Linked DNA regions of Saccharomyces cerevisiae S288C. The protein of the gene in region 1 interacts with the protein of each later gene in a biochemical or structural test. Each region holds a gene or a part of one and is shown on either strand. Other genes may lie near its edges.

What was found. Proteins that work in one complex are often made in the same cells at the same time.
Region 2: the proteins of RPN10 (region 1) and UBI4 form a complex in vitro, tested with the Saccharomyces cerevisiae proteins (14 studies listed by BioGRID, with this or other methods).
Region 3: the proteins of RPN10 (region 1) and DSK2 form a complex in vitro, tested with the Saccharomyces cerevisiae proteins (7 studies listed by BioGRID, with this or other methods).

What each region holds. Positions count from the first base shown.
Region 1 is NC_001140.6:496,316-501,684, forward strand, and holds RPN10 (proteasome regulatory particle base subunit RPN10), read left to right. Parts: upstream 1-2,763; coding exon 2,764-3,570; downstream 3,571-5,369. Other genes in the region: AIM18 (Aim18p), read right to left, coding at 1-965; AIM46 (Aim46p), read right to left, coding at 1,175-2,107; NBL1 (borealin), read right to left, coding at 2,256-2,404, 2,472-2,544; PPX1 (exopolyphosphatase), read right to left, coding at 3,635-4,828. UniProt on the Saccharomyces cerevisiae protein: Multiubiquitin binding protein.
Region 2 is NC_001144.5:63,562-68,212, reverse strand, and holds UBI4 (ubiquitin), read left to right. Parts: upstream 1-3,005; coding exon 3,006-4,151; downstream 4,152-4,651. Other genes in the region: E3 ubiquitin-protein ligase PRP19, read left to right, coding at 1-1,468; ENT4 (Ent4p), read left to right, coding at 1,695-2,438; membrane morphogenesis protein VPS13, read left to right, coding at 4,568-4,651. UniProt on the Saccharomyces cerevisiae protein: Ubiquitin exists either covalently attached to another protein, or free (unanchored).
Region 3 is NC_001145.3:815,811-820,448, forward strand, and holds DSK2 (ubiquitin domain-containing protein DSK2), read left to right. Parts: upstream 1-3,016; coding exon 3,017-4,138; downstream 4,139-4,638. Other genes in the region: ubiquitin-ubiquitin ligase BUL1, read right to left, coding at 1-2,771; FCP1 (protein serine/threonine phosphatase), read left to right, coding at 4,446-4,638. UniProt on the Saccharomyces cerevisiae protein: Involved, with RAD23 in spindle pole body duplication. Involved in the ubiquitin-proteasome proteolytic pathway.

The DNA.
Region 1 (5,369 bases):
TAGAGGAGTGTGATCAATTTGTCGATAGCTGTTTTTTTGGCTTGTGGAGAAGGAGATTTTTCGCCACATAAATATTGGCTAAATAAGAATTTTCCGACGAGTTGATTATTAACTACTCCCATGACCTCAAATTCGTTGTTTTTACTGTCATGATATGAAAATTGTAAAGCGCCGTTGGCTAATAATTCGATGATCAAATCGTCATTTTTCCTGACGGATCCCTTACGTGAAAAGGCATCATTTAACTCACTTAGGCCCTTCGCCAGTGTGTCTTTATTATTGGCCACATCGGGATGTTTAGAAATAGTTTTGACCAGGCCCTCCTTAAGATGCTTAAAATCTGTATTCCTTACGGGAGTTATCTTGGCTAGCATTCTCATTCCAGAATCCAGTAAGTCATCAATCATCATAACGGATTTTGAGTCATCACGTTTCAATAATCTAGCTAGATTCTCCTTAGGAGTCTTAGAATCATCCACATCAAGGAAATATTTATGTAAATAAGTTTCATTTAGAGTGTCTGAAACAAGGTTTTCGTCATTTTCAGCTAGATAAAGACCCAAGGCATAGACCTTGAACCTCAAAAACGTGACGTGCCTTTGACCATATCCCAGTAATTTAAAAGTTGTAGAGACAGGGAAATTTAAAGCAGTAATCGTTAGTGGGAAATCTGATACGCTAGAGTCTACCTGTATCGATTCAGTATGAGAAGGAAAAGCATCAGTTTTATCGTCATTTTGTACCGGACGATCACGGTAGTATAACGAAGTAGCGAGCAATGTTGACGCCGCAAACCAGGGCCAATAGTGGAACGTCGAATTAGAACGCCCAGGGTATTTAGTGGCTCGTATACTAGTAAAATTTCTTTTGAAACATTGCCAATGGTTGGTTGATGGAGATTTCTGACATTTAGCTAGTGTTCGCTGGAGTGATTTTAGCATATTGGCGCACCTTCCTCTGTCCATGAAGGGATTCTATCGCGGTTGTAACGCCGTAAGAGTTTTGAATTGATTTTTTCTTGTCAAAACCGAATAGCATTGTAAACATTTTGAGGGGTCCCTCCTAGAAAAATTGAGTCGAAAGGAAACTCAAAAAAACATCATTAGAGTATATGTGCAGCTTTTGGAACAGCGTATGTATTATGTAATTGTATGTAGAAGTCGGCGAAAGTGTCCTAAGATAGAGAGACGAGTGCATCGATTACTTCCTTCCTAGCCTCCGGAGAAGGAGGATCCACAGCAGCTAGGTAGTGGGCAAATAAGAGCTTTCCAATAAGGGGTTCCTTCACTGTGCCCAATATCACAAATTCATCCTTCTTTCTTGCGTAGTAAGACAAATTCATAGAGCAGTCCTTATTCAGCTCAATGAAAAAATCATCATCTCGAGCCACAAGTCCTTTTACGCTCCTGAAACAGTCATGCAATTCTTGGAATCCAGCTTCCAGCCGGTCTTTGTCTTGAGACTGAGAATCTGGGTTCTTTAGGACGCTCTTTTTGGTGCCGTCCATCAATAACTTGAAGGAACCTGCTTTTATCGGAGTATTCTTGGACATTAGTCTGATTCCGCTGTCTAAGAGGTTATTAATCAGGATAGGGGCCTTAGCAGGATCGTTCAAAGCCGCACGCAAATTATCCTGATGTGAGTTTTCCGGTGATGGGGGTGCCGCAGTGTCGATGAACGCCTGAGACAGGAACTTTGAGTCCAGTACTTCAGAGACCAGATGTTTGTCTTCAGCGGCCACATATATGCCCAGACCATATGCTTTGAAAGTGATCGATGAGACACAACGTACACCCTTACCAATCAGCTCATATTGCGTGGAGAAGGGCCACTGTGGGGGGCCCATCTTCTTAGGGAACGCAGAGATGGATGCGTCCACTGCAACGCTGGTGGCATCCGCCTTTTTGATCTGGGAATCGTCATACCATTTCTTCGCGAATATGGATGCCAGTGCTAACCCTGTTAACACAGGCACTACTTTGCTGCCCTTCTTGTTCACACGAGCATTGCCCGCTGTAGTAGAGTAGTGAGAATACCATTGTGGGGCCCTCCTCATACCTACCTCTAGGCAATTTGTTTTCACCAAAACTTTACTGATTAAACGCATGTTTCCATATACCTGGCCTTCTGCTAAGTAGACATGTATTCAACAAGGGGATGTAACCACACGCTGCTTTAATACCAACAAATCGGCCGCTGATTAGTAATAGGTGCATCATTGCGAATACCGAGAAAGGGTCCATTATACGAACTAATCATTCTATACGGCGTCCTTCCTGTTCAAGCACCTCTCTGATTAGTTCCTTTGATTGAGGCGCTGATGTTGCATCAGGCTGCTGGAGCAGATTTAGTTTCTTTAACGTCTCCTCTTTAATATTTTCGATCAGTTTTTCTGTTGTTTCCACTGAGGTTGTGTTAGTAATTAGTGCGGGTGAAGGTTGGGGGTAGAGTGTTGCGGTGAGGTGACATACGTTCCAGCTGCATTCGATGTAGTATTGCGCTGCGCAACTTCTGCCGTTCTTCGGGAGTGAGAGCCGGTATCATCGTAACCGAGTGCGGCAGCTGCCCTTTTGCTGATGTTGTTGCCACTTCTTGTTTACAATTGTATTCTCTTGAAGTTATATGGCATTATAGCTGCCGGGTTATTTCCGCCAGGCGGGTTTTCGCCACCGGAATTTACAACTAAATACACACTTATATCAGACTTTTAAAGCGTAAAGAAAGAAGGGAAAAGTCAATAAATAACTCAGCAGTAACCGCACAATGGTATTGGAAGCTACAGTGTTAGTGATTGATAATTCAGAGTACTCTCGCAATGGCGACTTTCCTAGGACAAGGTTTGAAGCCCAGATCGACTCGGTAGAGTTCATATTTCAAGCCAAGAGAAACAGCAATCCTGAGAATACAGTGGGTCTTATCTCTGGTGCTGGCGCCAACCCCAGGGTGTTATCTACGTTTACCGCCGAGTTTGGGAAGATTCTTGCTGGACTACACGACACGCAGATCGAGGGTAAGCTGCATATGGCCACTGCGTTGCAGATCGCTCAGCTGACTTTGAAGCATCGCCAGAATAAGGTCCAACATCAAAGGATTGTGGCATTTGTGTGTAGCCCAATAAGTGATTCTCGAGACGAATTGATCAGATTGGCAAAAACACTGAAAAAGAATAATGTTGCCGTGGACATCATCAATTTTGGAGAGATTGAACAGAACACGGAGCTTTTGGATGAGTTCATAGCTGCAGTGAACAACCCTCAAGAAGAAACTAGTCATTTGCTTACTGTGACGCCTGGCCCCAGACTGCTGTACGAGAACATCGCATCTTCACCCATAATTCTCGAAGAAGGATCCTCCGGTATGGGCGCCTTTGGTGGGTCTGGCGGTGATTCCGATGCCAATGGCACATTTATGGACTTCGGGGTAGACCCATCAATGGACCCAGAACTGGCAATGGCCTTGCGTCTGTCTATGGAAGAAGAGCAGCAAAGACAGGAAAGGTTAAGACAGCAGCAACAACAACAAGATCAGCCTGAGCAGTCTGAACAGCCTGAACAACACCAAGACAAATAGTAGTGTACAAAAATATCTATATGGGTCATATATAAACCAAATAAAGCATATATAACATCTCCCTTCACTCTTCCAGGTTTGAGTACGCTTCCTCTAAATAGGGGACGACTTGCTTTCTGGTGGCCTCGACGTTCAGTTGCTTAAACATCGCCACACCTCCATCAAGATTGCCCCCAAATAATTGAAGTTGGAGCTTGTCGCTAACCCTTTCAATGAGTTCACGTACCACGTTAGAGTCTCCCAATATGACCAATTCTCTGTGTGAATCACCAGCTTTCCTCCATGAAGTCAACAGAACCAATACATCGAGCCCCCTCTCCGCCTGAAATCTTCTGCATTGGTTGACGAAATCTGCTTCACCACCGTGTTCATTGAATAGCCAAGACATTCTTTTTACTATTGATGAAAGACCAATCTCTAACCCTTTGTGTCCCTTTCCTTGGAAATTGAATTGTTTGTAGTCCTTCTTTAGAATATCGCTTACCGAAAATCCTTTAATATCGTTCTTTCTTGATTTTATCTCTTTATAAAACTCACTGCTGTCCTCTAAACCTTGCGCAGACACTTCATTAACCGCACCACTAAGAACAGCTTGGCATCTCTCGATAGCTAATTTATCACTTTCCTCGACTTTGCGCCTCATATTTGAAGTGTCTATTAAGATGGCCCCCATCAAAAGTGGTGCAATGTTCATCACCACTTCACGGTCACCTTGCAATTTTTCATACCAGTAGTTAAAAACCAGCGATGAGCAACTGCCGGACACTTTTACAATCCGAGGTTCAGCATCCAAATGTTTTTGCAAGTCAAAATGGTGGTCTATAATGCCAACGACGTTATCTATATAATTTTTCAAATTCTTTGGTGTATCGTTATTATCTACCAAGTAAGAGTTTAATTCAGTACCCTGGGAGACATTTTGCTTCAAGCTCTTTAAATCTTCAATGAAGAATAATTCCTCCTCCTTAATTTTCAGTTTTTCTAGGACATACATTACGTCTCTTCTTAAACTGAGGTCTTCTCTAGGAATGTCGATAATTGGGACAATAAAGCTTCCTTTCTTTTTCTCCTCCGAGTAAGTACCTTCATTATATATGTATTGGCAGTACGAATAAGTGATTGCACTAGCAATTGAGTCCATATCTGCTGACTCGTTACCAACACATATTGTTAACACATCGTTGCTTGCAATTTTTGAAATTGGCAGTGATTTTAAGTGTGCCAAAAATTCAGGAACCGTCTTTCTCAAAGGCGACATCTTTCTTAACAATCGGTGTTTTGAACTTTTTGATTATTTGTTTCAAGTGGCTTTAGTTAATTATGTACACTTCGTTTCTTTTTTCTACTCTTAAAAGTGAAAAAAATGAAAAATCAGCGGCATGTATAGCATACAGATAATAGGAAAAAGGTTGTGAGTTATTCTTCGAGACTATTTCGACTCGTATTCTAAATTAGAATTCAAGTAGGTGGATAATGTGACAAAATGAATGAAGGTTAGAGCTTTACACAGAGTATTATCCTCGGCGTTTTCTATCAAAGCTTCTGGTTATTCCATACTTTTTTCAAGGACAGCAGAAACATATGCCATTTTACACCTCCTGGGAAAATAATTTGTAATTTTCTAGTGACTCAATGCTTGTTGAAAGTGATCTTGTATAATGAGTGTACACATGAGATGTGCAAATTTCTTCATTACTTAGCGAGAAGTGTACACTCTTGAATATAATAACACTAACAGTGGAATCATCGGTAATAATAATACTATTGATCGTAGTGAAAGCAAAACACGACTGTACTTG
Region 2 (4,651 bases), on another chromosome or scaffold:
ATCACCTAAATCCAGGACTATTTTTGAAAAGTCGCTCCTTGAACAGTATGTTAAAGATACGGGGAATGATCCGATAACAAATGAGCCCTTAAGCATCGAAGAAATAGTGGAAATCGTACCTAGTGCGCAACAAGCCTCACTAACAGAGTCTACAAACTCTGCTACGTTAAAAGCGAATTATTCGATTCCGAATCTGTTGACAAGTTTACAGAATGAATGGGATGCTATAATGCTCGAAAACTTTAAGTTACGATCAACTCTAGATAGTTTAACGAAAAAACTGTCGACTGTAATGTACGAAAGAGATGCTGCAAAGTTGGTCGCTGCGCAACTATTGATGGAAAAAAACGAAGATTCGAAGGATTTACCCAAATCCTCACAGCAAGCGGTAGCTATTACGAGAGAAGAATTTTTACAAGGGCTGTTACAATCTTCTAGAGACTTTGTAGCGAGGGGCAAGCTCAAAGCACCCAAATGGCCGATTTTAAAAAATTTGGAGCTATTACAGGCACAAAATTACTCCCGTAACATCAAAACATTCCCATATAAAGAGCTTAACAAATCTATGTACTATGATAAATGGGTGTGCATGTGTCGCTGTGAGGATGGTGCTTTACATTTTACCCAATTAAAAGATTCGAAAACGATTACCACAATAACTACACCAAATCCCCGTACCGGGGGAGAGCATCCAGCTATTATTTCCAGAGGGCCTTGTAATCGTTTGCTACTACTATATCCAGGTAACCAAATAACTATATTGGACTCAAAAACAAACAAAGTCCTCAGAGAAATAGAGGTAGATTCCGCCAATGAGATTATATATATGTATGGTCACAACGAGGTCAACACAGAGTACTTCATCTGGGCGGATAATAGAGGAACCATAGGATTTCAATCCTACGAGGATGATTCCCAGTATATTGTTCATTCTGCTAAATCAGATGTTGAGTACAGCAGCGGTGTCCTACATAAGGATTCATTATTATTAGCCCTTTACTCTCCGGACGGTATATTAGACGTTTACAACTTGTCATCACCTGACCAGGCAAGCTCTAGATTCCCCGTAGATGAAGAAGCCAAGATAAAAGAGGTTAAATTTGCAGACAATGGGTACTGGATGGTAGTAGAGTGTGACCAAACTGTGGTTTGCTTTGACCTAAGAAAGGATGTCGGCACGCTAGCGTATCCAACTTACACAATCCCAGAATTCAAGACGGGCACCGTTACCTATGACATTGACGACTCTGGAAAGAATATGATTGCATACTCAAACGAGAGCAATTCGCTGACGATATACAAATTTGACAAGAAAACAAAAAATTGGACTAAAGACGAGGAGAGCGCCCTCTGTTTGCAAAGCGACACTGCCGATTTCACTGATATGGACGTGGTATGCGGAGATGGTGGTATTGCCGCTATTCTGAAGACAAATGATAGTTTCAATATTGTTGCATTGACACCCTAAATACGCTGACACGTTTGTACTTTCTAAATAAACCTGTGTAATAGTAGTAACATTTCCAGTAAAAATTTCATTTCCTTCTCTTTTTACATCTCTAGGACAACGCTTTAGTGAGAAAAAAAAAAAAAGAAAAAAGAATGAGAAAACGAAAATTGAGGTTATGTGTTGAATAAGCCTAGAAAGCATAAAGGTGTCAAAGAACGAGTACACATATAGTGAGGGGGTCGTGATGCCTTTGTTAGATACCTTCAAGAGTTTTATTCAATCACCGACGGAATCAAAGGTGAAACAGGCTACCAACGAGGACGAAACAAGTGGAGCAACGGGGACGCTTATGAACGAAATATCAATCTTGACCTACAGCCCCAAGACAGTACGAGAAATCATCCAGGTAATCCGGAAGCGATTGCTACTTGGGCAGAACAGAAGAAATTCTCATCGAAATTGTATCCAGGTGATGAAGACGCTGACTTTGGTCTCATATCTGATGAATAACGGGTCCAATGAATTCATCAAGTGGCTGAAAGGAAACATGATACTAATTGAGATCCTGGAGGATTTTCAGGTTCAGGATCCTCGGGATGAACGTAAGGCGGAAGATATTCAAAAGCTAAGCAGGAACGTTCTGGGGCTGCTGCAAGACGACGGGTTACTAGAAAAACAACGCAAGGATGTAATACAATTCCGCTCAAGCATATCGACTCCGGGCAGGAAGTCCACGGACAATAGCCATTTGAAGCTGGAGGAAATGAGAAGCGAGCTCACGCGACAAAGCTTAGAAAAGAAAGCAAAGCCTCCCACCACCAGCACTAGCTTAGATTTCCAGAGACAACGGACAAGGAATACGCACGAATATGCCCGATTCTCTTTGGATCCCCTGGCCGAAGAAGACAGTGAAGATACGCCCGGCGTGGCGGGTGGAATAAGCAAGCTCTCATTTAGACCCAAGTCTTCAAATAACCCGTTCAGATGATTTTAGAGTCTTCCTTGACCAATCATCTTATTCGCGCAGGGCAACCCATGATAGGAAATGTCCCTTTAAACGAACTGTGGGAAATCCTGCAAAAGTGATGAAAGTGACGTTTTATGAAAAGAAAGTGAAAAAGTTCTTGTTTGACAATATTCTATTCCGAAAAGTCTTTGTGGTCAGTATTGTTTCTAGAACGTTCTAGAATAATCCTGGATAAACCAATTTCGGTACCAAAAAAAAAAATAGCCGCCCAGTGGAGCATCACACAGCCGTACATCCGGCCACACACGGTGGTTACCCCACTTCGTTTCTTTTTTCAGGGGCGATGCCACTTATCAGTTGTTTTTAGAATTCAGTGTCATTTGAGGGCGGTTCCTCCTTTTGGGGGTATATATAGAGAGGCTCCGGGTTTTGCCACCTTTGAATTCGCCTGCTTATCTTTCTTCTTCCGAAAGTGCTACTTCAGAAAGAGCAAGAACTGTACGGATAAGGATAAGTATATCTTCTATCTACTACAATACGACAAGAACTCTCGAACTCTCCCTCCCACTTTACTTTAACTAATAGATTATGCAGATTTTCGTCAAGACTTTGACCGGTAAAACCATAACATTGGAAGTTGAATCTTCCGATACCATCGACAACGTTAAGTCGAAAATTCAAGACAAGGAAGGTATCCCTCCAGATCAACAAAGATTGATCTTTGCCGGTAAGCAGCTAGAAGACGGTAGAACGCTGTCTGATTACAACATTCAGAAGGAGTCCACCTTACATCTTGTGCTAAGGCTAAGAGGTGGTATGCAGATCTTTGTTAAGACTTTGACCGGTAAAACCATCACTTTAGAGGTTGAATCCTCCGACACGATCGATAACGTTAAGTCGAAAATCCAGGACAAGGAAGGTATCCCTCCGGATCAACAGAGGTTGATCTTTGCCGGTAAGCAGCTAGAAGATGGTAGAACCTTGTCTGACTACAACATCCAAAAGGAATCTACTCTTCACTTGGTGTTGAGACTGAGAGGTGGTATGCAAATTTTTGTCAAGACACTGACAGGTAAGACTATAACCCTAGAGGTTGAATCTTCTGACACTATCGACAACGTTAAGTCGAAAATTCAAGACAAGGAAGGTATTCCTCCAGATCAACAAAGATTGATTTTTGCTGGTAAGCAACTGGAAGACGGTAGAACGCTGTCTGATTATAACATTCAGAAAGAGTCTACGTTGCATTTGGTGTTGAGATTGAGAGGTGGTATGCAAATTTTCGTCAAAACTCTAACAGGGAAGACTATAACCCTAGAGGTTGAATCTTCCGACACTATTGACAACGTCAAAAGTAAAATTCAAGATAAAGAAGGTATCCCTCCGGATCAACAGAGATTGATTTTTGCTGGTAAGCAACTAGAAGATGGTAGAACCTTGTCTGACTACAACATCCAAAAGGAATCTACTCTTCACTTGGTGTTGAGACTGAGAGGTGGTATGCAAATTTTTGTCAAGACACTGACAGGTAAGACTATAACCCTAGAGGTTGAATCTTCTGACACTATTGACAACGTTAAGTCGAAAATTCAAGACAAGGAAGGTATTCCTCCAGACCAGCAAAGATTGATTTTTGCCGGTAAGCAACTAGAAGATGGTAGAACGCTGTCGGACTACAATATTCAAAAGGAGTCCACTCTTCACCTTGTCTTGAGGTTGAGGGGTGGTAACTGATCAGTCCTCGCAATATTTTCATTATGTCAATATATATATGTTTACTCTCCTTTTTTCTTTTTGGTTTTTTTTTTTTTTTGATAAATACTCCATAGAACACTAAATAAATTGTTCAACTGTGTTATTGTCTTTATTCATGTTGGTTTTCAAGAGCTTGGATTTTTGAATCGTCTTATACTATGACGTTCACTATTTTCGCGAAGCCGGGTAATACCATTAGCTATTTTGATAGAAAGGGATTTTTATTAGGGAATATAAACCACCTTTATAGTGTCCTATCATGTTTCAATCTCCAGTAAACGCACATAAGCCGACCAATTGAGTCAACCTTTTAACTCTATTTAATTTGATACGGATAGAATATTGTGACTACCAAAAGGGAAAAGGCAGAAAAAAGGAAAATTAAGAACAGTTAAATGTTAGAGTCTTTAGCTGCTAATTTGCTAAACCGATTGCTAGGCTCATATGTGGAAAATTTCGACCCTAATCAATTAAATGTC
Region 3 (4,638 bases), on another chromosome or scaffold:
TTCACATTAATGTCTCGTTTGTACTGTAAAGGAGCAATCCTAACCCATTTATGAACAATCTGGTCTGTAAATTTCAGGGAAGTAGACGAGCTACCGCTAGGTAAAAATAAACTACTCTTGGATGAAGAAGTTACTGGCGTTAATGACGCTGAACTGGGCGACGATGAACTACCGTTACCTGTGTGCGATATTGAATCCTCAGATAATGCGTGCTTTGAGTGTTGTTTTAGGGTACTGACCTGTTTTTTAAAAATGTTGGATAAGTTGTGAACACTAACTTTCAAGTTGCAAATGCTTTCGATATCGTTAAACAGCTGTGAAGTAATAAAATCTGTAAATTTCAGTTCCTTTGGCCTACGGTCTCCCCTATTCATATTATATAACTCATTTAATTCAAGAAAATTCTTGTTGAACTTGGTTTCATATTCACAAATTTTTGAATGGAAATCATCGTACAAAGCTTTGATGCTTGTCAGCTTCTCTTTGTTCATCAACAGTTCAGAATTGAGTTTTATTGGGATAGAATTATCAGATTTAGCAGTTATACATATCAGTTCTGTGGTAATCGATTGAATTTCTGGCGGATCATGAGGTAAGCTATTATCGGATTCTATGCAAGTCAATTGTAAATCAAGTTTTTCCAATGGTTTTTTTACGTCTTCCGGAATCAACTCAGACAATCTCACCCAATTTTCTTGGTCGTGTTTACTCTTAGATTCAAAAACATTGGTCTTTCTCAATAATGAGGGAGCCCAATATGGTAGGCCCTGTTTTGGAATTTTCGCCTTTACTAGTATTAGCCCTGTCCTTTCTTTATTTCCCGTTAAATCATGATTATTCTTTCCCGCATTTGAGGAAGAGGACATTGAGCTGGAACTGCTGTTTAAAAAATGAGAGAAGTTCAGAAATGAGGAGGAATTGGATTTGTTTTTCAGTTTATATTTTAGTTCACTTTCAACAAAGGGACCCCAAGCTCTGGAAGTATCGGTATTATGACCACTATTTCCACTGCGGCCATTGTCCAAATCGTGGCCCAACTTCAAATCGTTATAGTTGACTAAATAGTTATTTCTGTTCTTAATGTGCAGTTGGTCCAATTTCCTCTGCAAAATTTCTTGGGAGTCTGATTCAATAGAATCATCAATGGTACCACTCAAGTCTGCACCGTGAATGTCGCGGTTCGTTATGGGTTCTTTTTTCTCTAATCTCTGAAAGATTTTTCTAAGAGCATCCAACCTTTCCTGCACTAGTTTGGTGATATCATTCAGCTGACTCATAGTGGTTCTTTCTCCGACGACATTGGCGTCAAAACCAAAAGGGATTACTCTTAGATTATATTCTCTTTCCTTCATAATATACAGTTTAGAGGCCTTTTGATCTTTACCGACAATCCTTGCATCAATAGTGTAATTGATCGAAAGGTTGTCATCAGACATATCGTTAGTTAAGATGGGGGAGCCCTTTGTACCTAAATGACCGCACCCAAGTACCCTATTGACTTTGATACCGGAATATTTGCAATTGTTCCTATATTTATCAATACCAAAACTGGGAGGTAACAAACAATGAGAGAAATGCTCCTGCTTACAAGTGACATCTAGCAATTGCAGTGGCAATTTGAAAATGAAGAATTTCTTGTACTTGACTCCGGGTTCCAGAACCCGGCTATTGTTTAGCCCAAATACAGAACCATCGTAGTCAACATCTGCGGGAATGAAGTCCACACCGGACCCCAGTGCTATTTTCGAGTATGACCAAGAAGCGCTCAAGTCTACCATCCTTAAAAACCGTTTAATCGTTCTTTTACTCTTTACTTTATCAATAATGGAAATGTAAGACTCTAAAGTGACATAGAACATTTCAAACTTTAGGTTTGCTTGAGATTTGTTTTCAATAGTGATAAAACCATGAATCAAATCCCCCGACGTATACTCTTTCAAAATGGACTCCTCCTCCGGCTTCACGTGTGGTATAGGTGCATGCTTCGTCGTCTTGATGGTGATTTCGATGGGTGTGGACATTTTTGGTAAAGTGTACAATTTGTCGATGAAAATGTTGTCTGTATCGTTCAAGTCATCAAGTATGGGAGGTATATCCAGTGAATCTTCATCGACAGCGGTTGATTGATGTGCTGCAATACTGTGATGTTCGGTTCGAAGGGGAATTAAGTTTTCTAAATTTGATGTTGACGAAGAACGTGTGGCACCCAATGCGTCAGTGGACAATGATTGATGTGAGAGATCAGCGCTCGAGCCCGCAGCACCTGTTGCAGTAGAATTATTGGCCTCTTGGTATGAAGGTGGGAAATCATGCCTATCTGGATCGACGTTGCCCTGCGGAATGTGCCTATGCAGGGTATTGTACATCTCAAATGAGGGCAGTACATCAACAACATTGTTGATATCTCCGTCGGTCAAGGACCTTCCGGTCTCGACGGGGGTCGCATTTGCAGTTGATCTTCTCAAAGGAGAACGATTACCTCCAGCAGGCGTTCCGGTGGAAGGAGCATGCGAATGAGAATGTGCTAGTTCGGGACGTCTTAGTCCAAGGATCCCCGTAGCAGACGCGCTTCTTATCCATGATTTTGGAGAGTGTAACGACGGTGACCTCGAACTGCCTTTACCACCCTCTTGTTTCTGCCTACCACGCCCCCTTGTGTTTGCATTAACGTTCATAGTTGTCGAACTATTTGCGGTAAAATCAGATCGTTGAGGACGCAGCAAAGGCTTCCTCTTCGGTGGAAACCCCGAATCGTTCAAATCTTTGGCCATTTAGCGTACGATATACCTGTTGACACACACGAACAGTCTCTTTTCGCCCTTGCTAAGAGCTTCTTTCCATAATCACTATGCGGCTCTTCATTGCAATACTTTTATCATTATTAAAATAGCCTCTGAGAGCGGGTCACGGCCCGCTGAAGGGAAAGAACAATTTAAAGCCAGTTTTAAGTTCAATCCACCGATGGACGAGAGGCAAATAAGACGGATCAAAGACACCGAATCATTCTAGCACGATAATGTCGTTGAATATACATATCAAGTCAGGACAAGACAAGTGGGAAGTAAATGTGGCACCTGAAAGCACAGTGTTGCAATTCAAGGAGGCGATAAACAAAGCGAACGGTATCCCGGTGGCAAATCAGAGATTGATCTACTCGGGTAAGATTTTAAAGGACGACCAAACCGTGGAGTCATACCACATTCAAGACGGTCACAGCGTCCATCTGGTCAAGTCACAACCCAAACCACAAACCGCCAGTGCCGCTGGCGCAAATAACGCCACCGCCACCGGTGCAGCAGCTGGCACTGGCGCCACCCCGAACATGTCGTCAGGTCAAAGTGCAGGCTTCAATCCGCTGGCCGACTTGACCAGTGCCAGATACGCTGGATATTTGAATATGCCATCTGCAGACATGTTTGGCCCGGACGGTGGTGCATTAAACAACGACTCGAATAACCAAGACGAGCTGTTGAGGATGATGGAAAACCCCATCTTCCAATCGCAAATGAACGAGATGTTGAGTAACCCTCAGATGTTGGACTTTATGATCCAGTCCAACCCGCAATTGCAGGCCATGGGTCCACAAGCCAGGCAAATGCTACAAAGTCCCATGTTTAGACAGATGCTCACCAATCCTGATATGATTAGACAGAGCATGCAATTCGCAAGAATGATGGACCCTAATGCCGGTATGGGCTCTGCAGGTGGGGCTGCCTCTGCCTTCCCCGCTCCTGGTGGCGATGCTCCAGAGGAAGGCTCCAACACGAACACTACTTCCTCATCCAACACAGGGAACAACGCAGGGACTAATGCAGGTACCAACGCAGGCGCTAACACAGCTGCAAACCCATTTGCGTCTCTTCTGAACCCTGCATTAAACCCCTTTGCTAACGCGGGAAACGCTGCATCCACCGGGATGCCCGCCTTCGATCCTGCATTGCTAGCGTCTATGTTCCAACCCCCTGTACAAGCATCTCAAGCAGAAGACACCAGACCACCGGAAGAACGCTATGAACATCAATTAAGACAACTAAACGACATGGGCTTCTTCGATTTCGATAGAAACGTCGCAGCCCTCAGGAGAAGCGGTGGCTCCGTCCAAGGCGCTCTTGATTCACTACTGAACGGCGATGTTTAAATAAACGTCTAGATGCCGCAACCTATATACTTTTACCCTACTCTATCGGCATATATTTAATCTACGTATTACATGTATCCATCAATAATATCATCATAATATCTGGACACTTTTGGAAGACGCGCCCTTGCGAAAGAAAAAAAAAAATTTTCGTTTCACACCTACAGTAATAAACACATAATAACAACGAGCTAATCATCCCAATCAATCACCCCTTCCCCCTTTAATTAGCAGCCAGGGTACTGTATTTAGTCATATAGCGGTACTTGCATTGACCGCGAACGTGTAAACACAAGCAAAGCAGATTATGACCACACAAATAAGGTCTCCCCAAGGCTTGCCGTATCCGATTCAGATCGATAAACTCATTCCAAGCGTAGGTTCGTACCTTCATGAGGGTGATAGGTTGCTTGTCTATAAGTTCTGGTATTTGGTGGAAAGGGCCTCAGACACTGGTGACGATGATAACGAGCACGATGTTTCCCCCGGCGGCAGCGCCG